Saccharomyces cerevisiae S288C: one gene and its partners. Changing the gene in region 4 together with the main gene of any one other region gives a genetic interaction. Each region holds a gene or a part of one and is shown on either strand. Other genes may lie near its edges. The genes, in order: PDE1, VMS1, RQC1 and RQC2.

What was found.
Region 1: mutations in RQC2 (region 4) and PDE1 impair growth when combined (synthetic growth defect), as found in Saccharomyces cerevisiae (one study listed by BioGRID).
Region 2: of RQC2 (region 4) and VMS1, a mutation in one rescues a mutant of the other (synthetic rescue), as found in Saccharomyces cerevisiae (5 studies listed by BioGRID, with this or other methods).
Region 3: of RQC2 (region 4) and RQC1, changing one suppresses a phenotype caused by changing the other (phenotypic suppression), as found in Saccharomyces cerevisiae (3 studies listed by BioGRID).

Annotation. Positions count from the first base shown.
Region 1 is NC_001139.9:31,279-38,815, reverse strand, and holds PDE1 (3',5'-cyclic-nucleotide phosphodiesterase PDE1), read right to left. Parts: upstream 3,164-7,537; coding exon 2,054-3,163; downstream 1-2,053. Other genes in the region: RAI1 (decapping nuclease), read left to right, coding at 36-1,199; BRR6 (Brr6p), read right to left, coding at 1,290-1,883; ZIP2 (Zip2p), read right to left, coding at 3,604-5,718; RMR1 (Rmr1p), read right to left, coding at 6,181-6,906; HFM1 (DNA helicase), read left to right, coding at 7,180-7,237, 7,390-7,537. UniProt on the Saccharomyces cerevisiae protein: Controls the level of cAMP in yeast cells, together with the high-affinity cAMP phosphodiesterase (PDE2).
Region 2 is NC_001136.10:551,735-557,538, reverse strand, and holds VMS1 (Vms1p), read right to left. Parts: upstream 4,286-5,804; coding exon 2,387-4,285; downstream 1-2,386. Other genes in the region: acid phosphatase DET1, read left to right, coding at 1-483; triose-phosphate isomerase TPI1, read left to right, coding at 1,067-1,813; uroporphyrinogen decarboxylase HEM12, read right to left, coding at 4,591-5,679. UniProt on the Saccharomyces cerevisiae protein: Endonuclease that cleaves polypeptidyl-tRNAs downstream of the ribosome-associated quality control (RQC) pathway to release incompletely synthesized polypeptides for degradation.
Region 3 is NC_001136.10:1,131,252-1,137,195, forward strand, and holds RQC1 (Rqc1p), read right to left. Parts: upstream 4,181-5,944; coding exon 2,009-4,180; downstream 1-2,008. Other genes in the region: IRC3 (double-stranded DNA-dependent ATPase), read left to right, coding at 1-1,819; chromatin-remodeling protein SWR1, read left to right, coding at 4,681-5,944. UniProt on the Saccharomyces cerevisiae protein: Component of the ribosome quality control complex (RQC), a ribosome-associated complex that mediates ubiquitination and extraction of incompletely synthesized nascent chains for proteasomal degradation.
Region 4 is NC_001148.4:532,188-541,896, forward strand, and holds RQC2 (Rqc2p), read right to left. Parts: upstream 6,750-9,709; coding exon 3,633-6,749; downstream 1-3,632. Other genes in the region: mRNA-binding protein RRP12, read left to right, coding at 1-1,222; TAF3 (Taf3p), read right to left, coding at 1,455-2,516; RET3 (coatomer subunit zeta), read left to right, coding at 2,831-3,400; CHL1 (DNA helicase), read left to right, coding at 7,198-9,709. UniProt on the Saccharomyces cerevisiae protein: Key component of the ribosome quality control complex (RQC), a ribosome-associated complex that mediates the extraction of incompletely synthesized nascent chains from stalled ribosomes as well as their ubiquitin-mediated proteasomal degradation.

The DNA of each region.
Region 1 (7,537 bases), on a different chromosome or scaffold from region 4:
AATAGCGAAATATTAGACCAACATAGTGTATCCCAATGGGTGTTAGTGCAAATTTGTTCGTAAAGCAAAGAGGGTCGACAACAGCTCTGAAGCAGCCAAAGGAAATAGGATTCTATTCAAGAACTAAGGATGAAGAATATTTAATTAGCGATGATACGAATTTGAATTACTACTATCTTCCAGACGCTGAATTGGACAGGAAGTTGGATCTTTCATCAGGATTTCAGAAATTTAAGGATTATTACAAAGATTTTGAAGACAGGTGTTCCCTGCGTGGGCTATTAGAAACCATAGAAAGCTCTGAAAGACATAAAGGAAAAAAAATTAATGCTGATATAATTACTTTTAGAGGAATAGCACGGAAATTAATTTCATGTGCATTTGACTCTCCATCTTTTAATACAGTTGATCTTCGTATCGTTTCATTCAACGGCCAACTTTTTATCAAGGAAGTGCCTGAAGCTGTCAATGCAGCTAAGGCTTCCTCTGCAACTGAAGCAGGGCGTAATATAAATCAAGATCTGAATGTATTTACAGGGTACAAGTTTGAAACTTTGGCTACTCTTTCCAATCCGTTGCAGTATACACCCCGTGAAGTGATAGAAAAAAGAACTAAAAGGATTGTATCGCATGGAGATGAATACATTAGTGTTGTGAGAACTGGTGTAGGTAACTGCAAGTTAATTCTTGGTGCTGAGGTGGATTGTATATTTGACTTTAAAGAAAACGGTAGAGACAATTTAAAACATTATGCCGAATTGAAATGTACGCAGCAAGTTGCGAACATATCGGATACGCATAAGTTTGAGCGTAAACTGTTCCGGACCTGGCTGCAATGCTTCTTAGTTGGGATCCCAAGGATCATATATGGTTTTAAAGACGACCATTATGTATTAAAAACTGTGGAAGAGTTTTCAACGGAGGAAGTACCTGTTTTATTAAAGAACAATAATCCACAAGTTGGAAGTGCATGTTTAGAAGCCATTAAATGGTATGGTCTCCTTACTGAGTGGCTTTTGAAAATGATACCAAGAGATGAGGATCCTCATTCTCAAATAAGAGCATTTAAGTTGGTTTTCGAAAATAATCACCTAAGATTATCCGAAATTGAAGAAAGTGATGAGGAATATTCAGGTTTGATTGATGGAGAACATATATTATCGAACGGGTTTAAGGAGTGGAGAAAATCTTTGAAATAACAATATTCCTTTATGTCTTTCCTGCGCATATCCTCATCGACGTATGGATCTAAATAATATAAATGTGCAGATTAGATTAAGTTATATACACTATGCATGGCGAACCGATTTTGTATCTTTATTATTGAGATAAACCCTGTATGATCCGAAACTCGTATTGGTAACAAATATTATACCTATTATGCTAATTAAAATGAAAAGGAAAGATCGTATACTGAACGCTTCAAAAAAAGCATTTATTACCTCCGCCAGAGTACGAGCCCATGCTTTAGCCCATTGGTAATCGGAGCCAGACACTATTTCCTTGTTCATACATTTTGACCATTCATTGCAACGTACCTCCAATGCTGGAACCCTCATATGAGGTTCGCACTGGTTTTCAAAATACCTTGATTTGCAAGTTGCAATTTTATCTAATTCTTCCCTCACGTTATGCTCCAGTTTTAAGTTAACATCGTTTCTTATCATCAAAATGAATTTAATAGCAAGAGACAGTCCTATAGTTCCTATAATAAAATTGAAAAAAAGCTGTATATACTCCGCAATTAAACTTGGGCTCAACCAAATGCTTTGTCGGGCTAATCTAGCATCTTGCGGATGTTCACCTTCCAATACTTCCTCCCTTCCCAATCTTGGGTTAGCAAGTATGCCATCAGGCTGTCTAGAAAAACTACGGAGTTCCATTCCGGGACTTATGTTGGGATAGGGGATTCAAAGATGAGTCTACATAAGTTAACTCATCAATAATAATGGAAAGAAGTTTCATTAGTTACTACTAGTATTTTGCTTGCTCCCGGGTAATGAATTTTTCCGCTTTTCATCTACGTAGTATTATGTTATTGACGTTGTGTACATTATAGAAACAAAGTGTGGCCTTCTAGCGCAATAGATATTCTCAAGTCTCCTAAGTTCCTCTCCTCAGCTAAAAATCGTAACTCTTCGAGTATGGTTAGTCTTGGGTCTCTTTTAGCAGGTGTTGACTTAACGTGAGTAACGATAACATTCAAACCGCTTAATCCCTTACTACTGTTGTATAAAGTGTTCAAATTGGATAATTCGTTGATTAAATATATTGGAGATAGATGACCATACAATTGCTCGGGCTTGGAAGATAATGGGCATGAACATTCGACTAATATACCCTTGAGATGCACAAGCGGTATATTTTCAGCAACGTAAGACCAAAATTCTTCAAGTAGAGATTCTTCAGATTCTCTGCGGTCCTGCTCAACATCTCCGCAAACTATTATACAGTCTTTGCTTTTCCTGTCTCTGAAGATATAGAAGGTGCTGTATACCGGCGCGCCAGTCTTGACGCCTATCCCATGATGAACTTTGAACGGTATTACATCCCAAGGAAAGATAGTGCACTTTTGAACTTCCTTCGGATTCAAGCATTTTAGCTTCAATTTTCTTGAACGTTCTGCCGTTAAATCTGGCCATATTAAGTCATTAAAGACATGCTTTTGCAAAACGTCAATAGTATGCGGTAATCCCCAAATAGTTTTCTTTTTACTGTTTTCCTGCTCATATATTGAGGGGGAGTTTACTACCAGCCCACTAATATGGTCCAGATGGGGATGGGTAATGTAGTAGTCGGTAATTCCTTGGAAAACCTCGTAAGTTTTCTTCATTGTATTGGCGCTTTCAAAATGCTCTCCCTGCCTCTTTAATGATTGTAGCAAGGACTTGGATAATCCCTTTTGTATGTTCAGTTTGGAATCAATAAAAAACTCTATTGGCTCTCGATCATGTTCATAAAAGCTTGGAACAAGCTCATCATCACCTTCATTTTCATTTCGCCCTTGGACCAACATCTCCCGTAGCTGGTACATTCCTGCACCACCGTCTACAGCTATTAATTCTGGATCCTCTGTTCTAGCAGGCTTAAGTATAAAACACTGTGTTCCGTATTCGGTGGGTCCTCCATTGGCCCCAAGTATAGTTATTTCGAATACAACCATAAAAAGGAATATTGGTAAAAAAGGGGATGAAGAAGAAGAACCTCGTTAAAAGCCACTTTCTCTTGGAAATTTCTAAAAATATAAATTTCAGATATTGCTTCCCTCGAAAATGGAAAGGGTTTGACTATTGGTAATTTTTAGTTTCAAGTCACGCACCCTCACCAAAAAGTGCATCTTAATCAGTAACTCATTTTCCGTGCGGTATTTTTTTCGGGTTGTTTATTGTGACAGATGTAATATTATACATACGTTAACATATGATCTACAGATACTCCGATGATCCAAGGGTATAAAAAATAAGGTAAGGGTTAATTAGGTGGCTAGTTCATGTTAATAAATACATTTTCCTTGGTTGAATTTACTAACTGTAGCATGTAGTCGAAGAACGAAAGAGGCAGGCGTAGTATAAATAGTTTACCGGGTAACGATCCTTGCTGGATTTACCATTCTAAGGTTAATAACTTCTTCAGGCGAGTCATTTGTGAAACCGTAAGCATTTTAACAGCTTTGCTTTCTTCCTTTATTATTGCCATAAAAAATTCTTCGAGACTATATGTCTGGAAAATTTTCCGTACTAAGAGGATGTTAAATCCCAAATCTAGAAGAATATCGGCATTTGCAATATTTTTTTCTTTCTCATCGTTATATGAAAAGGCCCATCTTGCAATGAAATATTTCATCCAATCAATAAAAAAGTCAGTAGTCTCATGAATGAAAAAAACATCAACACGTGAATTCAATAAATAAAGTTTGATTTTCCAGAAAAGATCAGGATCAACGTCTTGTATTATTTCAGAAAACTCCACAATTATAATGACTCTCTGAAATTCAGTTAAAAGATCGTTTACCGCTTTATCGTAATGCAATGAGCCGTTATTTCTGAGTTGCATAAATCGGCTCGCCTGAATTTTATATACACATGTTGAATGGTTTATAATGAAATCGCATTCGCCAAAGTAAGATTGTTCGATAAGGTCTAGATGGGAATTTTTACATAATGACTGAATTACCTTTTGGTTCTCAATCACCTTGTTTTCATTTACGGCTATGCATTTATTCTCAATATCTTCTTCCAATATTGAATGCTTTACTGAGTAGTTATTAAATGAGCAATCTTCCTTTCCATTGTAAACTGAATTAGAGGTAGGAATTTCAATATGAGAATTTGCATATGTCCCAGAATTTATCAAGTATGAAGTGGAAGATATACCGGTGTCACTAACATCCTTGTCCTTCTTTATTTTTTTTTTGGTGACTAACATGGACATTAGTTCATTATCGATGAAAGATCTCTTTTGAGGAGCTAATGATGTATTAATATCCGCCTTAGATGAAAGACAATCATTTTCATCAAATTCTTGGGTTTCAATAGCAGTTTCATCGTGTCTTTCACTTTCTTCAATTGACTGATTTTCAGTTTTTTTTACATCTGGCATACTCATTGCAAGCTTTATACTACCAAACGTCTTTTTTTGATTATCGATCAGGTCAAGGGAGCCGGAATCTAATTTTTGAAAAGTTAACCTTAATGGTTTGATCGAATAGGCCTCCCTATTTATGGTAACATGCTCAAATATTGCATACCTAGAATGATTGCAAATTCTTTTCAGAGGATCCCATACCAAATCCTTTAGGTCTTCTTTTTCTAGACACCATATTTTATAGTTCTTTTTCTCAATTGGCTTATTCTTTTTCAATTTTTTCATTCTTATTTTAAAAAATTCTAGTTTATTAAATTGAGCATCAAAGAGTTCATCATAACGTTTTTCAAACGTATTAAGCTGTTGATCATGTTCTGGGACTTTCACAACCCAGCTTTGCGAACTGGTCTTGAAATTGTACTTACTGCACCTACTCTTATATTTGAAAGATTTCTCAGGTGAGATCCGTTGTAAACGGTATCTATTGTAGGTTTGCTCAAAAATTTGGGGCTTCCATTCTGACAAAGGTTTATCAGAAAATCCAACGCAGAAGTTCAACTTTTCCTCCGTTAGTGTGCTGCATTGCACTTCCAGTACAGAGGACATTTGTCTTAAACTCGGATATGGTACCTTTTTCCTGTATTGACTTCTTCTGAGAAGTGGGATGTTGAACCACTCTAACCTCGTGTTATCGTCTGCCAAACCGTGTTCCGTCATTTTTTGGTGAAGAGGAGCATTTAATTGAACTGAAAGACTTTTCATCCAGCTAAAAAATAACATGTCCTGTTTCCCGACTTTTAACTTTTCCTTGAATAACTCATACTGTAGTTCTTCTTTGTTGTCATTCTCAATGTTAGTCACATTCCATGTTTTGCCAACGGCTACATCTATTTTTTGTCTTCCAGAGGTGATGTGAATTACCTCCAAAAAATACTCTTCACCATTGATCGTGCCGCAGTTTTCATACCCTCCGATTTTCAGTGGTTTAAGTTGCAAATTTCTTAGCTCTTTCAAATATTTTTGTGCTCGTCTTCCCAGTTTGATGTTTTCTTTTAAGTTTCCTGACAGAACAGAATAGCCGCCCACATTTTGGTTACATTTAGATAACTTTACTTCCCAACGTTCAATAATCATAGTATTTTTGTAATATGATCTATTTCTCTAAATTGATTCAATTACTCGAGCTCGTTAACAATGGTGTGGCACTATTGAGTGATTTTCTTCTCCTGAAACATATTTTATGCTTGTATTTTACATATCCTAACAGAAAATACTTTCAGCAATTCTTCCGAAAGTAAAACTTGAAAAAAATTGAAGAAAATGACGAAAAAACAATACAAAACAATAATACAATTCGCTACAAAAAAGGGGGAAGGGCTATCAGAAATCGAATATGGACCTTTGCATCATCCAAAATTAATGAATACTTAACTGCTGACTATACAAACGAAAAAGAAGGCGACCTTAAATATTACACAGAGCCAATAATTTATTCGCGGGAGAAGATTCTCAAAAGGAATCCGTGACTGGGAAATCAGAAACTCACCGTTGGACATCAGGATTTCCCACGATCAGTGCTGATTAAACATGGCTACTTTAGTCTTCAGAATCCTCACCTACGTCATCATCTATGTCCATTACAATGACTTCTGAAGTATTCTGGTGTGTATATTGGTCATTGTCATCCACAATTAAGGGATGCGTTTCATCGTTAGAAAATGGCTTTATGTTTTTCAACGTAGCTGAGCTTTCAGTTAATTCAACCAAGGCGTTGTACCGAGAGACAAATCTTGGCCTTGTACTTAATTCAATAGCCAAGTGCGTCGGTATATCAGTTTCAAAATTAGACTCCGATCTTTCCTTCAGGATTTTAAATATAGTATAAACATCGCTGAATGAAATATGGTTGTTGTAGACATTATCTTCGAACAAGGTCAAATCGAGGCTTTTCAGTTGTAAAACCAACTCCTTCGTAGCAAAAGCCAACCTGCCAAAACGATTTCCCATAAATTTACGAATGGATTCCATGAATTCCCCCATGGGTCGCTGATAAAGAGCAGCGTTTTCACATATTATGGGGTTGTTACTTTCGTTCTTATCATCCGACGTGAACAACAGAAATGTAGTATCTTTATATTCCACGGTGACTTTGGGCAATTCGCTTTTCATTAAAGTCTCTGCCACGTTGCGTATACGGGCGTCCGATGGTTGTTCCTCCACGAGTTCATCATCATACTCCAAAAGGTCTTCTTCATCGCCCTCATCCAATTGAACCCCGACGTCATCCACCTCCACTGTTTTATGCGCTTCTTCTTCACTCATCTTTGATTCCATTGATACCAACAAAAACAATCTTTAACTACGTATCTTTTCCTTTACGTATATATAATTAATCATATATACTTCCCTTTTTTATGCCTTGTTGTAGTTTTAACATATCATGTACCACGAATGGATGCAGGCTCGGCGGGTATTTAGACTTTGCCCCGGATTATAAACAAAACGGGACTATTAGTATCATCTATCAAGAAATCCTTTCATTGAAAATGATTGATACCTCAAGGTGGATTTGACAACTTAAGAGGCGTCGTAAGGATGAAAACAAAGTTTGATCGCCTCGGTACAGGAAAAAGAAGTAGACCCTCTCCAAATAGTAGTAACGAAGCTTAGCAACACCCTTATCAGTTTACACCATATCGGACAACAACAGTATTTTGACTAACATTGTTACCTCTTTCTTTTATTATCTAGCGGAAATGCAACCAAAAGTGGTTTTTCTGGACTAGAATTTCAGAGGACTTATAGATATTGACTTTAACGACCAGTCTGCTACATTTAAAAGAAATAAGAAAAATAGCCGCCAACCAAGTTTTAAAGTAGGTTTGTCTTATAACAGTTTACTGGATGATTGTGATGATGAAAATGAAACAGAGGAAATATTTGAGGGCCGTGG
Region 2 (5,804 bases), on a different chromosome or scaffold from region 4:
TACGAAAATAATGAAGATAATATTTGTGAAGGGAAGCCTGGAAAATGTTATCTGCAATATCGGGTTAAGGATGAGCCAAGAATAAGGGAACAAGATTTTGGTAATTTCCAAAAAATCAATAGCATGCAGGACGTTATGAAGAAGAGATCTACGTATGGTCATTTCTTCTTCAGATTCCCTCATGGAGAAAGTGCGGCAGATGTATATGACAGAGTCGCCAGTTTCCAAGAGACTTTATTCAGGCACTTCCATGATAGGCAAGAGAGAAGACCCAGAGATGTTGTTGTCCTAGTTACACATGGTATTTATTCCAGAGTATTCCTGATGAAATGGTTTAGATGGACATACGAAGAGTTTGAATCGTTTACCAATGTTCCTAACGGGAGCGTAATGGTGATGGAACTGGACGAATCCATCAATAGATACGTCCTGAGGACCGTGCTACCCAAATGGACTGATTGTGAGGGAGACCTAACTACATAGTGTTTAAAGATTACGGATATTTAACTTACTTAGAATAATGCCATTTTTTTGAGTTATAATAATCCTACGTTAGTGTGAGCGGGATTTAAACTGTGAGGACCTTAATACATTCAGACACTTCTGCGGTATCACCCTACTTATTCCCTTCGAGATTATATCTAGGAACCCATCAGGTTGGTGGAAGATTACCCGTTCTAAGACTTTTCAGCTTCCTCTATTGATGTTACACCTGGACACCCCTTTTCTGGCATCCAGTTTTTAATCTTCAGTGGCATGTGAGATTCTCCGAAATTAATTAAAGCAATCACACAATTCTCTCGGATACCACCTCGGTTGAAACTGACAGGTGGTTTGTTACGCATGCTAATGCAAAGGAGCCTATATACCTTTGGCTCGGCTGCTGTAACAGGGAATATAAAGGGCAGCATAATTTAGGAGTTTAGTGAACTTGCAACATTTACTATTTTCCCTTCTTACGTAAATATTTTTCTTTTTAATTCTAAATCAATCTTTTTCAATTTTTTGTTTGTATTCTTTTCTTGCTTAAATCTATAACTACAAAAAACACATACATAAACTAAAAATGGCTAGAACTTTCTTTGTCGGTGGTAACTTTAAATTAAACGGTTCCAAACAATCCATTAAGGAAATTGTTGAAAGATTGAACACTGCTTCTATCCCAGAAAATGTCGAAGTTGTTATCTGTCCTCCAGCTACCTACTTAGACTACTCTGTCTCTTTGGTTAAGAAGCCACAAGTCACTGTCGGTGCTCAAAACGCCTACTTGAAGGCTTCTGGTGCTTTCACCGGTGAAAACTCCGTTGACCAAATCAAGGATGTTGGTGCTAAGTGGGTTATTTTGGGTCACTCCGAAAGAAGATCTTACTTCCACGAAGATGACAAGTTCATTGCTGACAAGACCAAGTTCGCTTTAGGTCAAGGTGTCGGTGTCATCTTGTGTATCGGTGAAACTTTGGAAGAAAAGAAGGCCGGTAAGACTTTGGATGTTGTTGAAAGACAATTGAACGCTGTCTTGGAAGAAGTTAAGGACTGGACTAACGTCGTTGTCGCTTACGAACCAGTCTGGGCCATTGGTACCGGTTTGGCTGCTACTCCAGAAGATGCTCAAGATATTCACGCTTCCATCAGAAAGTTCTTGGCTTCCAAGTTGGGTGACAAGGCTGCCAGCGAATTGAGAATCTTATACGGTGGTTCCGCTAACGGTAGCAACGCCGTTACCTTCAAGGACAAGGCTGATGTCGATGGTTTCTTGGTCGGTGGTGCTTCTTTGAAGCCAGAATTTGTTGATATCATCAACTCTAGAAACTAAGATTAATATAATTATATAAAAATATTATCTTCTTTTCTTTATATCTAGTGTTATGTAAAATAAATTGATGACTACGGAAAGCTTTTTTATATTGTTTCTTTTTCATTCTGAGCCACTTAAATTTCGTGAATGTTCTTGTAAGGGACGGTAGATTTACAAGTGATACAACAAAAAGCAAGGCGCTTTTTCTAATAAAAAGAAGAAAAGCATTTAACAATTGAACACCTCTATATCAACGAAGAATATTACTTTGTCTCTAAATCCTTGTAAAATGTGTACGATCTCTATATGGGTTACTCATAAGTGTACCGAAGACTGCATTGAAAGTTTATGTTTTTTCACTGGAGGCGTCATTTTCGCGTTGAGAAGATGTTCTTATCCAAATTTCAACTGTTATATAGAAGAGCAAAAAATTGCCAAAAAAAACAACATTTATTCATTTGAAATATAAAATTTGGGCTTCTATATTTTAATATTGCTTTTCAATTACTGTTATTAAATGTAAGTACTGTGTCTATGAAAATATATGCAAATGCTAAGAAAAATCCTAAAAATTTGAATATGAGATATTCCTCAGTATTTCTTTTTCATCCTTTCTTCTGCGGCTCTAGCCCTTTGTTCTCTCATCAATCTGCGTCTCTGTTCATCGGTCAAAGAATTCAAATTTTGTTGCTGAATTGAAGGAATATTGGTTAACTTTTTGCCTGGACCCCTCTCTGCATCTTTAGCAAATCTTTGTTTTTCCTTGGCGGCTTCTAATTCCAATTTAATCAGTTTTTCTGCCTTTTCATTCTCTATTGCTTTTTTCTTTTCATTGATTTCATCAACTTGTTCTCTGCTCAATGGCTGACCGATATGAGTTTCGTCCCAATTAGTGAAAGACTCTCCAAGATTGTATCTTGCAATTTGAAACGCGTGTCTCACGTCGTCGTTTCTATTCAAATCCCACGCAGTCCTTCCTAGTCTGTTCTTGATCGTTGGATCGCATTTAATATTTGAGAGCAAAATCAGTGCCATCTGTTTCATCCCTTGCTGCGATGCATAATGTAACATGGTAGGGGTTAAGGAATATTTACTCTCAGGCTTTAACCGAAAGTTTCCATCAAGCTTATTCTTTTTTAAGAAGGATATCAATAACGGTGCCCTTCCTTTCTTCAGCAGAGAAATTATTTCTTCTGTTTGGATTTCTTCCAGTAACGGTTCTTGTTTTTCTTTAAATTCGTCCTTTTTGTTCGACACTTCTAACTTTTGTACTGTTTCTTTCACTGCCAATGGTTCAGGCTTAGGTAATATTTTCAGGTAGGAAAGTTCGCACCATGCCTTCTTCAATTCTAATACAGTGGGCCTGTTCGTGGTAAAAGGGAAGCTCTTTATCCTTTCATCACCCTTGTTCAGAACGGTATTATCAGTAAAAATTTTTTTATCACTGACATTGCGAGCTCGAATAAAAATATTATCACACTTTGACAGATAAGGTTCCCAGTCCTTCAACACACCCTGTATATCTGTTTTTAAAGCGCTTTCATTGTACCTACGAAGTGCTGAACCGGCAGAGTTAGCTTTTCCCTTTGCATTGTCCATTGCTGACTGAGAACCACCTTGCTTCCTTCTGGTAGTATACCTGTGAAACGTCTTGTGCTCTAAGAAATTGACCGCTTGCTCAATTAAGGTTTCGTCCTTCTTGTGCGCGTTCCCCTTGACATTGAGTCTTTGATGAGAAACAATTGCTCCCGCAAAATGTCCACCTCCCACCATAAACAGAGCTGAAATGGCCATTGGGTTCTCTTGCGAATTCCAAAAAGTCAAAGCTTCATTGGGGTTGGAAAGACTCCTTTTATTAAATAGAGACTTATAAATCGCCAAGACCTCATTCTTTTGAAGATACTTCGATTTGAAATAAATGTAGGGCGATTGGGTATTAATATGGCTAATAGCATCCGACTCGTCTTTTTGGAACCCTAATTTCTGCAAATCATTTTCGATTATAGTTTCCATATAATTATTAGTTTGTAGGTCCGGGTCCCGATCGCTGGCTTCCTCACTTTCTTCGTGATCGCTTGAAGTTTGCTCGCCGCCAGAATTTTCGTCTTCAGACTTGATACCATGCTCCTTAGAAATCAGCGCATCGAATTCCTCAACGGATAGGATATCCAGCCCCCTAAGGTTACGCTTAACATTCATCAAATGATAATCAGTCTGGTAGTGGGCCTTTTGTTCATTTCTGGAATCAAAGCTCATTTGACAAACACTACAACGCATAACATTTGATGTGACCTTCTTTCTTGCTATTTGGAGATCTCCAGACTCCTTGTTTCTATCATTATCAGATGTCTTCTCTACTTCAACTTCTCGCAGTGTGGAGTCAAAGCTCATCAATTTCAATGAATTCAGAAGTTGCTCAGACAAATCAAAAATATAAAGATCATTCTTTTTTAGTGAGCCAGTCATTTTACTCGCCTTTTGTGAATTCATGCTATTGGAAGCTTGTCAACAGGCGTGCAGATCTTTTGAAAATCCTTTTTCTTCGAAGGAAAGGTGATATGCATTCTCATTTATTTTCATATACCTTCATCTTTTATTTTCTTCTATTTAAGATTTTGTCACTACATCCATTCAGAGAACCTGCAAAAATAAATATCTGAAAAAAAAAAAAATCGTAATAAATATACAGAATATCGAAAAAAGAAAAAAGGCCACTTTTGAACGTTGTGAAAAAGATATTATTTACATAAACGTATATTATCACTTATAACACTATAAGAATCAATATTTCCACATTACTTCGAACCAATTCTGTGGCACTCCTCCAAGAAAAACTTGATGACGTCTGGATCCATGAAAGGGTGGGTACCGTGACCGAAATTAACAATGTAGCGGGACTTCCCACCTCCAAAAGCCTCAATCATCTGTTTAACTTTCTTTGTTATTACCTCTTTAGAACCATACATGACGCCAGGATCCAGGTTGCCCTGCAAGGTGACACGGTTCTTGTTTATTTTTACCGCTTCTCTTGGGTCCCAGGACCAGTCCAACGAAACAACGTCAAATCCTGAACAGCATAGCTTGTCCAAAGCATACCACGACCCTTTCGCAAAAACGATCATAGGAATCTGTTCCATGATACCTAATTCTTGCAATCTTTTAGGCACTCTTTCGGCAATTTGTCTTAAATATGGTAGGGAAAACTCATCAAAATCTACAGACGAAAGCTCACCACCCCAACTTTCAAAAACTTGTAGTATTTGAGCACCCGCCACGACTTGCTGACTCAGAAACTCCACGGCCACATCAGTGATTTTTTGTAATAATTTGTGAGAAAGCTCTGGATACATGTTAATCCATTGTTTGGCAAATCTGAAAAGACGGGATCCACCGCCTTCCGTCATATAAACCATTAGAGTCCAAGGTCCCCCGCAAAAGCCAAATAAGGGAACCTCACCATCCAACTTGATCCTTGTCATGGTGATTGCCTTGAAAGCCCAATCTAACTCTTTCAAAACATCAACCTTGTAGTCTAATACCGTTTGGAGGTCTTCCGGATTTCTTAAAGGTTCTGGGAAATGTGGACCTTTACCTTCGAGCATCTCGACCCTCATACCCATGGCTTGCGGAATAACTAAGATATCACTAAAAATAATAGCAGCATCAATGAGGCCTCTATAGCGTCTTACCGGCTGGATAGTAATCTCAGAAGCAATTTCCGCATCCCTGCAAGTTTGAAAGAAATCACGATTGTTTTTCACCTCGTGATATTCCGGCAGGTAACGACCTGCCTGGCGCATTATCCAGCATGGCGGTCTCTCGACTTTTTCACCCTTTGCGGCTCTCAATATCAAATCGTTTTTTGGAGCTGGAAAGTTACCCATAGCGTTATAACCTGTTCTTTGCTTTATTTTTTTTTTTTTTGTTCTTCCTTTTCTCGAAGAGAGCTTACCAAACACAATTCTGAGATAATGCTTGATGAATTGAAGAACCTATCGATCACTCTATG
Region 3 (5,944 bases), on a different chromosome or scaffold from region 4:
TCAAGGAAATTTTAAATCGTTGATCCTGGTTCACAGGAGGGAGCTGGCCTTACAAGCGACGGCCACTCTTAAAAAAATATTCCCCGACTTAAAGGTTCACATAGAAATGGGAAAATATGATTGCGATATTGAAGATTCTGACGTGATTGTTGCATCTGTTCAGACGTTGATTAGAAGACTCCATAAATATGATACTAATTCAGTGAATCTCATCATCATTGATGAAGCACATCATTCTGTGGCTAATTCTTATAGAAGTATCTTAGATCATTTCAAAGCTTCAACTGCAGAAACCAAAATCCCTGTTATTGGCTTTAGTGCGACTTTCGAAAGAGCAGATAAAAGAGCTTTGTCAATGGTAATGGATAAAATTGTGTACCACCGGGGAATACTGGAAATGATCGATGACAAGTGGCTATGTGAGGCAAAATTCACGTCAGTCAAAATTGAAGCAGACTTATCAGATGTAAAAAGCACTGCAGATGACTTCCAGCTGGCACCGTTATCGTCTCTAATGAATACGAAAGAAATTAATGAAGTAATTCTGAAAACTTACCTTCATAAAAAGCAAGAGAAATCACTAAAATCAACATTACTGTTTGGCGTTGATAAAGCCCATGTACAAAGTTTGCATAAATTATTTAAAGACAACGGTATTAATACGGACTATGTCACCTCGGATACAAAACAGATAGAACGAGATAATATAATTCAAAAATTCAAAAATGGGGAAACTGAAGTACTCATGAACTGTGGAATATTCACAGAAGGAACGGACATGCCAAATATTGATTGTATACTACTGTGTAGGCCCACAAAATCGCGTTCACTTTTGATTCAAATGATTGGAAGAGGTTTACGGTTACACCATTCGAAAGACCACTGTCATATCATCGACTTCATTGGAGCTTCTAGTGTTGGAGTGGTTTCAGCGCCCACTCTACTGGGTATAAGGAGTGATGATATCGAATTTGATGATGCTACAGTTGAAGATTTAAAAGCAATCCAAGGAGAGATAATAGCTAAACAACAAAAAATCGACGAAAGGTTAAGGGCTTTATTTCAGACTGATGAAGCAGCAATGGAAAATGTAACTGAAAGAAATAGCGTTGCCGATTGGATTCACAGTGCAAATTCGGTTGATTTAACCTTGTGCTCCTTTGATAGTTTTAGGAATTTTACACAGAGCAATAACTCATATCCATCTGGCAAGGAGTTTGATGAAGCTTCTGAAGCTGTAAAAGAAATGGAGCTGTTGATGAACTCACAATATCCGTGGGTGAAATTTGCCTCAAATGCGTGGGGCCTCCCTTTAAAAGGTAAGAATCATTTGAGAATATACAAAGAAAAATCCGAAGACAAATTGTCGATGGTATATCATCTAAAAATGTATCGACAATTACCGTGTTTTATAACAAATAAATACGCGGACTATGTTCCAAAAAGTATAATAAAAGACGCTAATCTTTGGAATGTAATGTCAAAGGTGGAAAAAATCATAAATACTCTAAATTCGGACTTGGAAGGACAAACAATGCAATACCAGGCAATATCTAGTAAATACTCGAAATGGAGACAAACAGTTCCTACGTCAAAACAAAGAGACTTTGTTTTCAGAAAGCTAAAGAAAGTATATGGTGAGTCCTCAAAAGATTTTATTAGATTATCTTTGGATGATGTTACTACTTATGTAAATACTAAGATGACGAAAGGAGATGCTTCCAACTTAATCTTTGCCAGCAGTTTGGCACCTGTCTACCCGTTGAAATCATTGTTACGAATATTAGAATATCAAAAAAGAAGATCTTTTATAAAGTGAAATCCGTAGCTACATAAATGTGCATATATTAATATACAGTCACTAGTACATATGTAAACGTCGGACCACTCGTATATGCATTTTCTTTTGGATCACACCCTTTCTGAACTATGCAATGAATAACGTTAAATTCAAATAAGTGCTTTAGCCTTACTCTGCGTACTAGAAAATGAGCTGCAACATTTCTTATTAACCCTCATTTTCATTTGACTCTTCATTTTCATGAATGTACTGTTGCAAAGATATTTGTCTAATTTGATTCAACAGGTCCTCATCTTGCATTCTTTCTGCCTGAAGGACAGCTAAATCCTTTTCATTAATAAAGGTTTTGATGTTTTCAACCACTTCGATTGATTCTTTTGACGTAGGCATTGGTGGTAATACGTCAAACTCATATACTTCATTATCAGACCAGATAAATGATGGAATTGCAGCCATTACAGAAGACTCCTCAGATAGTATGGCGAATCTTAATAAGTTAATTGGGATTCCCGCAATAAAGAAAGGTGATTGCAAGTTGTTAATGTTATTGTGATCTTGCCCATCATTTGAATCGATTGTAACGTTTCCTCTATGGTAATCCTGTAAAATACTCGACATTTCATCATGCAAAAATGTTACCTCTTCGTTTCTATTCCAAAGTAACGGGAAGCGGGCCATATATGCCTTTAATTCCAAGTTTTCTGCCGAATGGCCATCAATGGATAAATCTTTAGTTAGCGCATGATCGCCCAAGAGTTTCTCCTTGAAAAGTTCTGACAGTTGTAAAGGATGATGCTTAAAGGCTTTTAGAAGCGCATTGCGGGCGGAACTCATCTCATTTATTCTTAGGAAGCTTAGTACTACCGCCAAGGAAAATCCTAAAGTATTCCACTGTTTATAACAGTTCATTAATGGAGAGTTGGATAATTCTATAATGTACTGATAGTCATTATTCAATAGAAAATAGTGATCGAGGAAATACCTGCATCCTAAAGGATCTTCCAATGGGCTCAGTGACCAGAGAACTTTTGTCCATTCACTAGCAGTTCCTATAACACCTCTTTGAGCAAGAGATTGGATGTATCTAAATATTGCCAAGTAAAACTGTCTGTTGAAGAAGTATATATAAGGTAGTTGACAATTCAAGGAATCGAAAATAATATTTGCTTTCAAAGCTCTATCAAAGACAAAGAGTGCTCTTTGTAACAATCCATTAGTGTTTGATCTATCACCTTGCCTAATAAATATCAAAGCAACTTGTAGCAGTCCAGGCACATGATACGGAAATTTAGAAGAAATCAAATTTATAAGGGCTTCATGATCAGGGTGAACAATAACACTTAAGTAGAAGTCCATCATTGATTTCTTGCTCAGGTCGGAATTTAAAGGTTCGAACTTATAAAAAGAAATGAATTTTTGCCACTGACTGACATCGTTTTGGATAACATCCTTCCAATCTAACGGCCTTTCCCATAATTGCCAATCTAAAAGATCATCAGAACTTAAAAGTTTCATAGAGAGCTCACCTCTTTGAGTTGGGATCCAATCATCTCTGATCTTGGTAAACTTCAAATGTTGCGGGTGCATTCCGGGGCCATTAGGTGCCAATCTATGATCTTTTCCGCCCCAGTTTCTAATTAATCTTTTCAGTCTCTGAATCTGTTTCAGCTGCTGAGGGGAGACAGGTGTGGATGTCATCGAATCAATATCTTCAAGAGACTCTGGAGATATATCGTCAAATAAAAGTTTGAATTCCGTATGGGGGTCCAATTTCTTGAAATCATTTTGAAAAAATTTGCAAGAATGCCTCAAACATGAAATGGGGAACTTTGTGAAGCCCGGATCACTTTCTAAGCTTAAAAATGACTTCCAAGGTTGGCTAGATGCTTCCTCTGGTTCAGATGCCGTGAAGAAACCTTCCTCATTAGTGTCATCATTTTTAGTCTTACCGTACTTCAATATATCAGTTTTTTTGAACTGTTGGATAATCTTGTCGAATTCTTCATCATCATCATCATCATCGGAACCCTTGTCTTTTGCAGCCTCGGCGGTATGGTTTTTTTGCTTCCTTTTTGCCTTTTTATTCTTTTTCCTTCTAGAAGACTTGGATGCTAGTGTAATTCTTTTAGGTTGACCATTACTTTGAGTATCACGCTCCCCAGCAGCAGCAGCTTCTTCATCCTGCTCAGACATTTGTCCTTCATCAGTGCTATTATCTGAATCACGTACGTTATTCATCATAGAGAAGATGTTCTCCCGTTTCTGAATATTACCGGCAGTACTTTTACCACTCGTCATTTTATTCGCATTTGAATTCGATAGCAGCGACTCTAGCAGAGCATTATCATCTTGTAATCTCCTTAATGCTCTAGAGCTCATGTTCGAGTACTTTACAAATATATTTAGATGATTCAACGACCTGTATGTTAACCTTCAACTGGTGGACTGTATGTACTACCTATGGACATTTTTCACTATACGTTGATGCAGTAGTGAACATATTGCTCGCATAATGTTACCCGTTTATACCTCTATACGATTATTAAGGGAGGGTAATACTTTCTCAATTTTTTTTTTTTCAGTTTTTAATATTATTTCCTTAAGATTTTTCGGTGGCGTTTCGCGACAACTTACGAGAAAAAAAAAAAAGAGGAGACTTGAAGAAAGAGTGCAAAGGGATAGCGGGATTCTAAAGTGTTTACGTGCAAAAAGGATAGATTTTGAGCTTTAAACTAGATAAGACCCAAAGCATTCGATTACTGCATTTGAGAGGTATTCAACAATACCATTTTAACTCTTAGAAAATATTTCCTTAAGCTGAAAATTTATGAATTCTAACTGCTCTTTGCATTTTCCAAGTTATTGCATTACAAGAATATATGACCACATCTCGTAAATCGCATGCGAAAGACAAAAAGGCTGGTGGTGAACAGGATCTGGCGGATTTGAAGTTTAGGTATGATCTTCTGACGAATGAACTGTTCCATTTAAGAGAGTTTGTTTCATTGGTAGATTATGATCCAACCCATTTTAATGATTCTGAAAGTTTTCAGAAGTTTCTCAGGGAAACACACTTGTCGTTAGAGGAGAGAGGAGAAAAATTCACTGATGACGTAGCCAAGAAAGGCACGAATGGTGATCTTACTCGCAGAAGGCGAAACCTCAGGACATCGACAGTTGTTAGTTCAGAAACGACTAATGAGAAAAAGGGTGATATAGAACTGAAGTTAGAAAGCATAGCACCATTAGTACGAAATAAATGTGAGGAGCTAAAATACAAACTAAGTGATCATTCAAATAGGAAATCTATAGTACCGCAAAAAAGACCAATACAACATTTGAAGAAGAGAGAAGCAGCGAAGTCCTTGAAGTTCAAAAGTGAAAGAAAGGAAAATCCACTGCCATTGCATGAACATATAGCTGAAGAGAGATATGATCACATCGCAAAAGTTGAAGAACCCTCTGAAGCCTTCACTATAAAGTGTCCTTCTGATGATAGCTCCTTTGAAAATACTAGTGAACATTATAGTGATAATTTTTATTTCACCACATCATCCGAAGAGGAAGATATAAAGAAAAAAAGAGGTAGAAAGAAAAAGAAGCCTAGAATAAAACTGGTAGTCCATCCTCCAAAGCAAACCATAACGAACCCGTTGCATGTAGTCAAGCCGGGATACGAAAGCTTGCACGAATACATCGCTTCCTTTAAGTCATTAGAAGACGATTTAACGCTGGAAGAATATAATAAATACATCGACGAACAAAGACGGCTTTTATCGAGACTCAAAAAAGGTATTGAAAATGGCGCATTGAAGTATGACAAAGAAACGGACTCACTACAACCTATAACATCCAAGGAAATCAAGACTATCATAACATATAAACCAGACCCGATTTCATATTTCTATAAACAACAAGATCTGCAAATCCATACCGATCACTTAATTAACCAAGGTATTCATATGAGTAAGCTGTTTAGAAGTTCAACAAAGGCAAGAATAGCAAGAGCCAAAAAGGTTTCTCAAATGATAGAACAACATTTTAAACACGTAGCCGGAGCAGAAGAAAGAAAGGCAAAGGAGGAGGAGAGGCACAAAAAGTCGCTAGCCAGGTTCGCAGTTCAAGCTGTTAAAAAAAGATGGA
Region 4 (9,709 bases):
CATTGTTAGAACCGTCGCTGAGGTTATTTTGAGTACAAAGGATGTGAATGAAAAATCTAGAGAGACCGCTTTTGATACTTTAATTTGTATGGGAAGAAAAATGAATGAGCCAAATGGTATTATCAAATTATTCCAAATACCAGGTTATGATCCTACCACTCCAGATCAATCGTCGTCAATATCAGAGTTTTTTAAGATCATTTCTGCCGGTCTTATTGGTGAATCTCAACATATGGTTAGTAGTTCAATTACGGGTTATGCTTGTTTAGTTTTTGAATTCAAAAATGAACTCGATTCCGGTATACTAATGGATATATATGACACCATTGAATTGTACTTAACTTCTAACTCTAGGGAAATTGTAAAAAGCGCCATTGGGTTTACCAAGGTTTGTGTTTTGGGGCTTCCAGAAGAACTGATGAGGCCAAAGGTGCCAGAGTTACTTCTAAAGTTATTAAGATGGTCTCACGAACACACTGGTCATTTCAAAGCCAAAGTCAAGCATATTATTGAAAGATTAATAAGGAGATTTGGATATGACTACATTGAAGCCAACTTCCCTGAAGAAGATAGGAGATTATTAACAAATATAAGAAAGATGCGCAATAGGAATAAGCGTAAAGATGAAGAAGTTACTACTGGAGTTAGTGATGTAGCTGCCACAAAGGGTTCAAGATTTATGTCTGCATTCGATGAAGCTGTTTATGGGTCTGATGAAGAAAATGATAATGGATCAGATCAGGAGGAAAATGTTGCTGGTGGCAAAATGAAGAATGGGGCAAAGCAATTTATTGTAGAATCCGGTGACAACCCACTAGATTTGTTAGATTCTCAAACACTAGCTCATATATCATCTACCAGACCAAAGAAATTCAATAAGAATCAAAATAGAGCAAGGTTTAATGATGATGCGTTTAACTTTGACTCAGAAGGAAAACTCGTTGTCAAGGGGCAACCTAAACCCTCTACTAATGTAGACGATCCATTGAGTGCTGTGACAAGCGGAATCAATGCGTATCTAGAGGCTGTGAAAAGTGGTCCTGTAAGAGGTCAAAGAAACAAGCTGAAATTCAGGAAAAATGGAAAGGACTCTGATGAATTTGGCGATGATGATGATGGTGAAAAGGATAGTAGGCTAATGAGAGGAAGAGTAAATCAAGGTAACAAGATTGGCAAACATAATAAGAAAGGTCCAAAGTTCAAATCTAGAAAAAAATTATAGAAGATTGAAACTGAGCAATATGGCTAATTACACACCTGGAGAAAAAATCAGATATGTATATATAAGAATATTATAATACTGTATATTAAAAATGATTAAAATAAAGAAAAAAATGAATCGGGCGTTTAATTGCTTATTATCTTGAAGAAGCGAAAGTACACTATATAGTAATAATGTGAGGTTAATTAAATATGGATGAGATAATGACGAAAGAAAATGCAGAAATGTCGTTTTAAAAGTAACCCCCATAATCTAGTGAGGTTCGACGTTGAAATGTGCTGTCCATATCTTCCTGCTCTGCCCATTTAGTATCAACATTTGAGTCGAATTGAAACATTGATATGTCACGGTCATCACCATGAGGAGACTCTGTTAAACTTTTATTGTTCTCTTTAAAACTTTCCTCATTGTTATTTTCTTGAGACTTTTGGTTAGGGCCTTCCACTTCGCCAAGTGATTCAAGCTCCTCATCCTCAAATGAAAGAGTTATATTTTCTAACCTATTTTCTTTTCTCATTATCGGCAGTTTGCTAGTTACAAATGGATTTTCTTGGATCTCTGTTAAGGCATCCTCATCTCTTGGGGTCATCGCCGAAGGCATCCTATCTTCGTTTGTTATGGTAGTGTGGTGATGGCGGCTTAGAATGGAAGATTTATAGCCTGCAATATGTGGTAAAGCCGGTACATTTTGAGATTCTTTTTTGGAAGCTCTTTCAATCATGTTTATACGTTGTCTAGCAATGACTAATTTGATCCAATCATCTAATCCATTATTATTTATTAGATCTTCTATCAACTCTGTTTTTCTATTCTTTGTTTCTAATTTCTGTTTCGCACCCTTGTTTTGCAGTAATTGATTGAGATAGTCAGGTATTGCTGACAAAGGATCAGATTCTTTTTCCTCACTTTGTAGTAATTCTACTGTGGGTAAGGCAGTTATTCGCGCGTCGGTCAATTGAGTACTATAAATACACCAGTCCTTGAACTTTTCCATTCCTCGTGAACTTGATAATTCGGAGTTTTCATCATAGACATCCAGAACGTTCGTAGGCTTAACAATACCTAGATTTTCCAGAGCCAGAGTTATATCTTGTAAAGCAATTGTATCGTCCTGATCACATCTTGCCTGAGCGATAGAACTGACCTCTGATGCTAACAAACTCAAGAATTTTGCATAGAGATCGGTCATGACATCCACCAGACTGGGCCTTGCCCTGTCAAATCCTTGTGCCTTCAATAATTGGAGAATAGATATGCGTAGTAGAGCAAAATAGAAGTCATTATTTGTAGTCATAGCAGAGGAACTCTATTGACCCAAAGATATCGCTGTTTTCCGCTAGTAGGTGATTTGGAATTGCTCAGGAAGCTACTTCAAGTGTTATATTAGCATACCTTCATCATGCAATATGAAATTACTGAAAAAAAAAACTAAAGCATCGCGAGCTTACCCGTTTCGCCACTTCTGTCAAGTGAAAAAACACGTTTGCATTGTTTAGGCTACAAGGTGTGGAATATCGAAGTTATTGCTAGACAGAAGTTCTTTAGGCATTTAGGTTTTGTTTGTGAGCTGGCTTGCTAATTTTGAGTACTGTGCATCATTGTTCCAGGATGTCTTCTTTATCGCTATATACTGTTCAGGCTGTTTTAATACTAGATCAGCAAGGAGAACGAATTTATGCAAAGTATTATCAACCTCCTCATAGATCTGATGAAGGACACCAATTGCTCTTCAATTCGGTGAAGAAGCAAAAAGAGTTTGAGAAACAACTATACCGTAAGACTCACAAGCAAGATTCGGAGATTTTAATCTTCGAGGATCATTTAGTCCTTTACAAAGAATACATTGATATCACGATATATTTAGTTGCTTCGCTGGAAGAGAATGAAATTGTTCTTCAGCAAGGATTTTCAGCAATCAGAGGAGCTTTGGATTTGATTTTGAACTCAGGAATGGACAAAAAAAACATCCAAGAAAACTATGATATGGTTTTATTAGCTATTGATGAAACCATTGATAATGGTGTTATCCTCGAAACTGACTCTAACACTATTGCATCCAGAGTTTCTAAACCACCTACGAACGAACCCCAAATGGCATTAGATTTGGATAAGGGTTTCTTAGGCGCGTGGGGTTTCGCAAAGAGCAAGTTTCAAGAAAGGTTACAGCAAGGCTTATGATCACAAGGCAAAGCGGATAGAAGAAAATTTTAGCTGGTCTTATATGGTATATATGCAGTGTCTTACTTTCTCCCTTCCATATATATGTATCTACTTATATATATAAGTATATGTTGCTCATTTAGAAATGATTGTCACCTCATGCTAATCATTTTATTCTTCTCGTTGGTCTGTGATGAAAAATAATGAAAAAATTATAATTGCTGTCTATTTTCTTTTCATCTCATATGATTTAGCGTTTTTTTTTGCCCTTCTTCGAAGAGTTACCACCGTTCTTGGTGGATTTCTGCCCAGCGATTGTTACTTTTAACTTGTCGACACAGAGCAGAAGAACCAAGTCCTGTTCCTTCAAGCCTTTAATCATTTCATGTTCTTGGGGCCAATCCATTTCGTTGTCAGTTGAAGAACCGTCTAGTGGTCTACTCTTGAAATAATGTAAAATTTCAGTTAAAGTCTTAGTTTTCTTCGCACTTCCCGGTTGTATTTTGACTTTGTATTTATATTTCAAAAGCGCAGGCCAGGGGGCAAATACTGGTATAATATCATCAACCACATCGCCCTTATCGAGAGATGGTTTTAATTCGGACTTGTGTTTATCATAGTTCACTCTTGCTTTCTCTTTTTTGGTGAATTTTAAAGCCTGTAGTCTTCTTTGTTTCTCGCGTTTATTCTTTCTATCTTCTCTAACTTCTCGCTTCATTATTTCTTCTTTCTTCCTTTGTTGCTGCTTTTCGATACCCTTCAAAGTACCCAAGGCCTCCAAACGCAAGAGACGTTCAGTTTCATCCTGGTCGGCGTATTTCTTTTGAATTTTCTTCAATTTTCCTCTTTTACCACGGACGTTACTGTTTATGTTTTCGATTAAAGATATCGGAACACCTGGTTCATCAAGGATACGCTGCGTACTGCTATTGTCATTTTTGGCTTTAGCATTTCCAGAATCAGAGTCGGTATCGGATGATATGGTGCAATGCTTTTCGATGTCTTTTTCAAGATTATCGTGTTCAAAACTGTTGTTTTTCGTGCTATCGTTTGAATCTCCACCCTTCTCTAACCCATTGACCTCGTTACTATCGTCTTCATCTTGCTGTTGCTCTTCTTCTTTTTCTTCTTCTTCTTTTTCTTCTTCTTCTTCTTCTTCTTCTTCTTCTTCTTCTTCTTCTTCTTCCTCTTCTTCTTCTTCTTCTTCTTCGTCATCATCACCATTATCCTCATTTCCACTGGTTTTCACTTTCCATAAAAATCCAAAACCCATCACAAGTTGAGCAGGGGGTAAATGGTTTTGATCATTCTCATTTTTCAACCGAAAGGCACCTTCTGGCAGAATGGAGTTATCAGAGCCATCGAATTTACTAACATTCTTTGCAAAGCACCACCATGGAGAAGAAGATATCTTCTTCGACCAAGCCTCGCTTGAGGACATGCATAGTATACCCGCTTGCATCAAAGTGTTCGGTGGAACTTCTGTTTTTTCTGGATTTTTGATCCATACATGAGAGTTAAAACTATTGGACATATAAATATCATCATCTTCAATATATTTTGAATAGATTTGATCTGTCTCAGCCGGACTTTTACCCATCATGACCAAAAATCCTTCACTTGAAATAAACCAACTATATTTTTCAAAAAAGTAAGGAGTGCGGATCTTTTTTAAGACACTGTGAGAATCTTTTAGCTTTTTTTTCAATTGTTGATCAATTTTGACTTCAATATTCTTCATAGCCTTGCCGACATTCTTTTCGACTTTTTTCTGCTTTTGAGCACTTGTTTTTTTGATATTGAAATATTCAGTGGCATTGGCATAAGCTGATAAACCAAGGTCAATTGTAACGTTTATCTTTTCATTAGATTTTCTTTTCATACTTTTTGTACTCCTCTCCTTCGAACTCTCCATGTCTTCTGAGTCTGAGTCACTAGAACTATCAGTAGTATTGCCTTCTGATTCATTGTCCTCGTCTGAAGAAGTGTTGAGTTCCTTGCTAGAGAGATCAAGCTTGACGCTAATTTTGTTCTGTTTCAAGTTCAAAGGCAAGTTCAAAAGCTGAGCAATTCTGTTGCCTTTTTTTTGTTCACTTTTAATTAGTTTCTCAATAGTGTTCCAGTCCATTTGTTGATCGATTAGACCCTGAACAGCAAGCTTAACTTCCTCTATTAAGGGTGCATTTTCAATTATGAGATGGCCTTTCCTTTCATTTAGTTCTTGGACGTCTAATAAAGCTTGTATTTTTCTATCATTTTCGGCACGAGCATCATCGATTTTCTTTTGCGCTTGCGATTCCTGATTTTGTATACGTAGAGCATACTTAGAGGATTCTATTGTTGAGAAAAATTTGTCTAGCGTCCTATTGTAAGGACCTTCAACTTCAATGATACAAGAAGAGTCAGTGTCTCCCCCATTTATATATGGCTTAAAGGGATGGAATGTATCATAAATAAATTCCAAATCGGCAGTATCTTTTTCAGAGATATAATTTTCATTTCTTTTGGCCAAAATGTAACCCTTTCTATCGGTGGTAGTTAAAAGTTGATTATATTCTAACTGAGTACTGTTTAGCAATTCGGCGAGTGAGTCTGTTTCCTCCAAAAGATTTAAACAAGACTCTGAAGGGTCGATATTGAATACCTTAAGGTTCTTTGATAATAAATCTGAAGACAAATGAGGGACTTTCGAAAGCAGCAGTTTATGGATGGAAGGTACTTTCACTTTTTTTTTTTTAGCGCCCTCCTTCCCTTGAATGTTAAGTTGCTTAATAACAGTAATGTCTGATTCATACTTGGCTTGAACTGCTTTTATCCACTCGTTGACTAGTTCAGAGGTGTATTCTGCCTTTCTGTTTTTTTCTATGGATTCATCAGCAGACTCGTTATTTGTGGTAAAAAGTGATTCGTCAAACATTTCATAAATTTGTCCGACCTTATTTTCATGCTCTAGAACGACTCTTTGCAAAGCCATAATTCTTCTGTTCTCATCTAGAAGAATGACATTCCCTGCACTGAAAAATTCCAAAACTAAATAGAAGTGGCCATCAGCAAATTGTAGAACAAGAATTCTATCCTGGTCTACTTGCTTTAAAGCTGTTAACCGTTTAGCTTTAAGATGCTTCCTTAGTTTGACAACAAAGCCGGAAGGAGTTGGAGGTATTGGCCTACTAAATTCAGTTAAGTAAATTCTTAAGCCACAATCGACAACAACATTGAGTTTAGAATCTGGTTTATTAAATTTCAGCAAAAATTGTTTTGAGGAATCGGCAATGTTATATATATTACTCAATCGGTAGCCTTCCAAATCCTGTTTCAGCTCTCTAGCCAACAGCAGTAAATCTAGGGCACTAATTCTTTGCTTCATCGCTATTAATCTCTTGCCTGCCTGACTTCTTAGACCGGATAATAAGTAGCAACTTTCTTTTCAATTTGCCATCGGATTCTTTTAAAACTATTTTTCAGGCGAAATTTCATTTTTCTATCCTTCCGCAGCATGAATGAAAAGTTCAAACGCGTCCAAATATACAATAGATATAGTGCATTAGTTAATGTCCGGAAGAGAAGTCGCAATTGTTGAAAAGGTTAAAACTCAGGCTATTTATTGAAAATCCAATTTTAATCGTAACCACAGAGTTGAGGTAGAGGCTCATTTGTTACCTGACAGTTGATGACATTATCACTGACATATTTAAATTCATCATTAGTGTAATCAGCACATGCTAAGTTGAGGGCACTACTGCAACTTCAGTTTGTTTCCTTAAAACCCAAAAGAGTAGAAAACCAGGCTAAAAACAGTCACACTAGTCCAAAAAATGGACAAAAAGGAATATTCGGAGACTTTCTATCATCCTTATAAGCCCTATGATATTCAGGTACAGTTAATGGAAACTGTATACAGAGTGCTATCCGAAGGGAAGAAAATAGCTATCCTGGAAAGCCCCACTGGGACAGGCAAGACGCTGTCCTTAATCTGTGCCACGATGACTTGGTTGAGAATGAATAAAGCAGATATTTTCACCCGCATGGAAACTAACATCAAAACGAATGAAGATGATAGTGAAAACCTAAGCGATGACGAGCCAGACTGGGTTATTGACACTTATCGAAAGTCTGTTTTACAAGAAAAGGTGGATTTGCTAAATGATTATGAGAAGCATTTAAACGAAATTAACACGACCAGTTGTAAGCAGTTGAAAACTATGTGTGATTTAGATAAAGAACATGGAAGATATAAATCAGTTGATCCATTAAGAAAGAAACGCAAAGGCGCTAGGCACCTTGATGTATCACTTGAAGAACAAGATTTTATTCCGCGCCCGTACGAATCAGATTCTGAAAACAATGATACCTCCAAAAGCACAAGAGGAGGAAGAATATCTGATAAAGATTACAAATTGAGTGAACTAAATTCACAAATAATAACACTTTTAGACAAAATTGATGGGAAGGTTTCGAGAGATCCAAACAATGGCGATCGCTTTGACGTTACAAATCAAAATCCAGTGAAAATATATTATGCATCCAGAACTTATTCACAATTAGGTCAATTTACTTCTCAGTTAAGATTACCCTCGTTCCCATCATCCTTTAGGGATAAGGTCCCAGATGAAAAGGTGAAGTACTTACCACTTGCTTCGAAAAAGCAGCTTTGTATTAATCCAAAAGTGATGAAGTGGAAAACATTGGAAGCTATTAATGACGCATGTGCGGACCTTAGACATAGTAAAGAGGGATGTATCTTTTATCAAAATACAAACGAATGGCGTCATTGTCCTGATACGTTAGCTCTCAGAGATATGATTTTTTCAGAAATTCAAGATATTGAAGATTTAGTTCCCCTGGGAAAATCTTTGGGAATTTGTCCCTATTACGCCTCGAGGGAGGCACTTCCTATTGCGGAGGTAGTGACTTTGCCATATCAATACTTACTTTCTGAGTCCACCCGTTCAAGTCTTCAAATAAACCTTGAAAATTCTATAGTAATTATTGATGAGGCTCATAATTTGATAGAAACAATAAATTCTATATATTCCTCTCAGATCTCGTTGGAGGACTTAAAGAATTGCCATAAGGGGATAGTAACTTATTTCAACAAATTTAAGTCCAGGCTCAATCCCGGTAACAGAGTAAATCTATTAAAGCTCAATTCACTTTTGATGACTCTGATTCAATTTATAGTTAAAAATTTCAAGAAGATAGGACAAGAAATAGATCCTAACGATATGTTCACAGGAAGTAACATCGATACCCTAAACATTCATAAACTATTGAGATATATAAAAGTCTCCAAAATTGCTTACAAAATTGACACGTATAACCAGGCACTAAAAGAGGAAGAATCGTCAAAAAATGAAAATCCAATAAAAGAAACGCATAAAAAATCAGTTTCTTCTCAGCCATTACTTTTCAAGGTTTCTCAATTCCTATATTGTTTGACAAATTTGACGTCAGAAGGACAATTTTTTTTTGAGAAAAATTATTCAATAAAGTACATGCTTCTAGAACCAAGTAAACCTTTTGAGTCAATACTAAATCAAGCAAAATGTGTAGTCCTTGCAGGTGGGACAATGGAACCCATGTCAGAGTTTTTGTCGAATTTGCTACCTGAAGTTCCTTCTGAAGACATTACGACCTTGTCGTGCAATCATGTTATACCGAAAGAGAATTTGCAAACTTATATCACAAACCAGCCTGAGCTTGAGTTCACATTCGAAAAAAGAATGTCTCCCTCCCTTGTAAATAATCATCTTTTTCAATTTTTTGTTGATCTGAGCAAAGCAGTTCCTAAAAAGGGTGGTATTGTAGCTTTTTTTCCAAGCTATCAGTATTTGGCGCATGTAATTCAGTGCTGGAAACAGAATGACAGGTTTGCTACATTAAATAACGTGAGGAAAATATTCTATGAAGCAAAAGACGGCGATGATATTCTATCTGGATATTCTGATTCGGTAGCAGAGGGAAGGGGGTCTCTTTTGCTGGCTATTGTTGGGGGAAAATTATCAGAGGGAATAAATTTTCAAGATGATTTATGTAGGGCTGTGGTGATGGTGGGCCTGCCGTTCCCAAATATTTTTAGTGGAGAACTAATAGTTAAAAGGAAGCATTTGGCCGCTAAAATAATGAAGTCAGGCGGAACGGAAGAGGAAGCTTCACGAGCAACAAAGGAGTTTATGGAGAATATTTGTATGAAAGCTGTCAACCAAAGTGTTGGACGTGCTATACGGCATGCAAATGATTACGCAAACATTTACTTGCTCGATGTGCGATATAATAGGCCCAATTTCCGGAAAAAATTGTCACGTTGGGTGCAAGATTCTATCAATT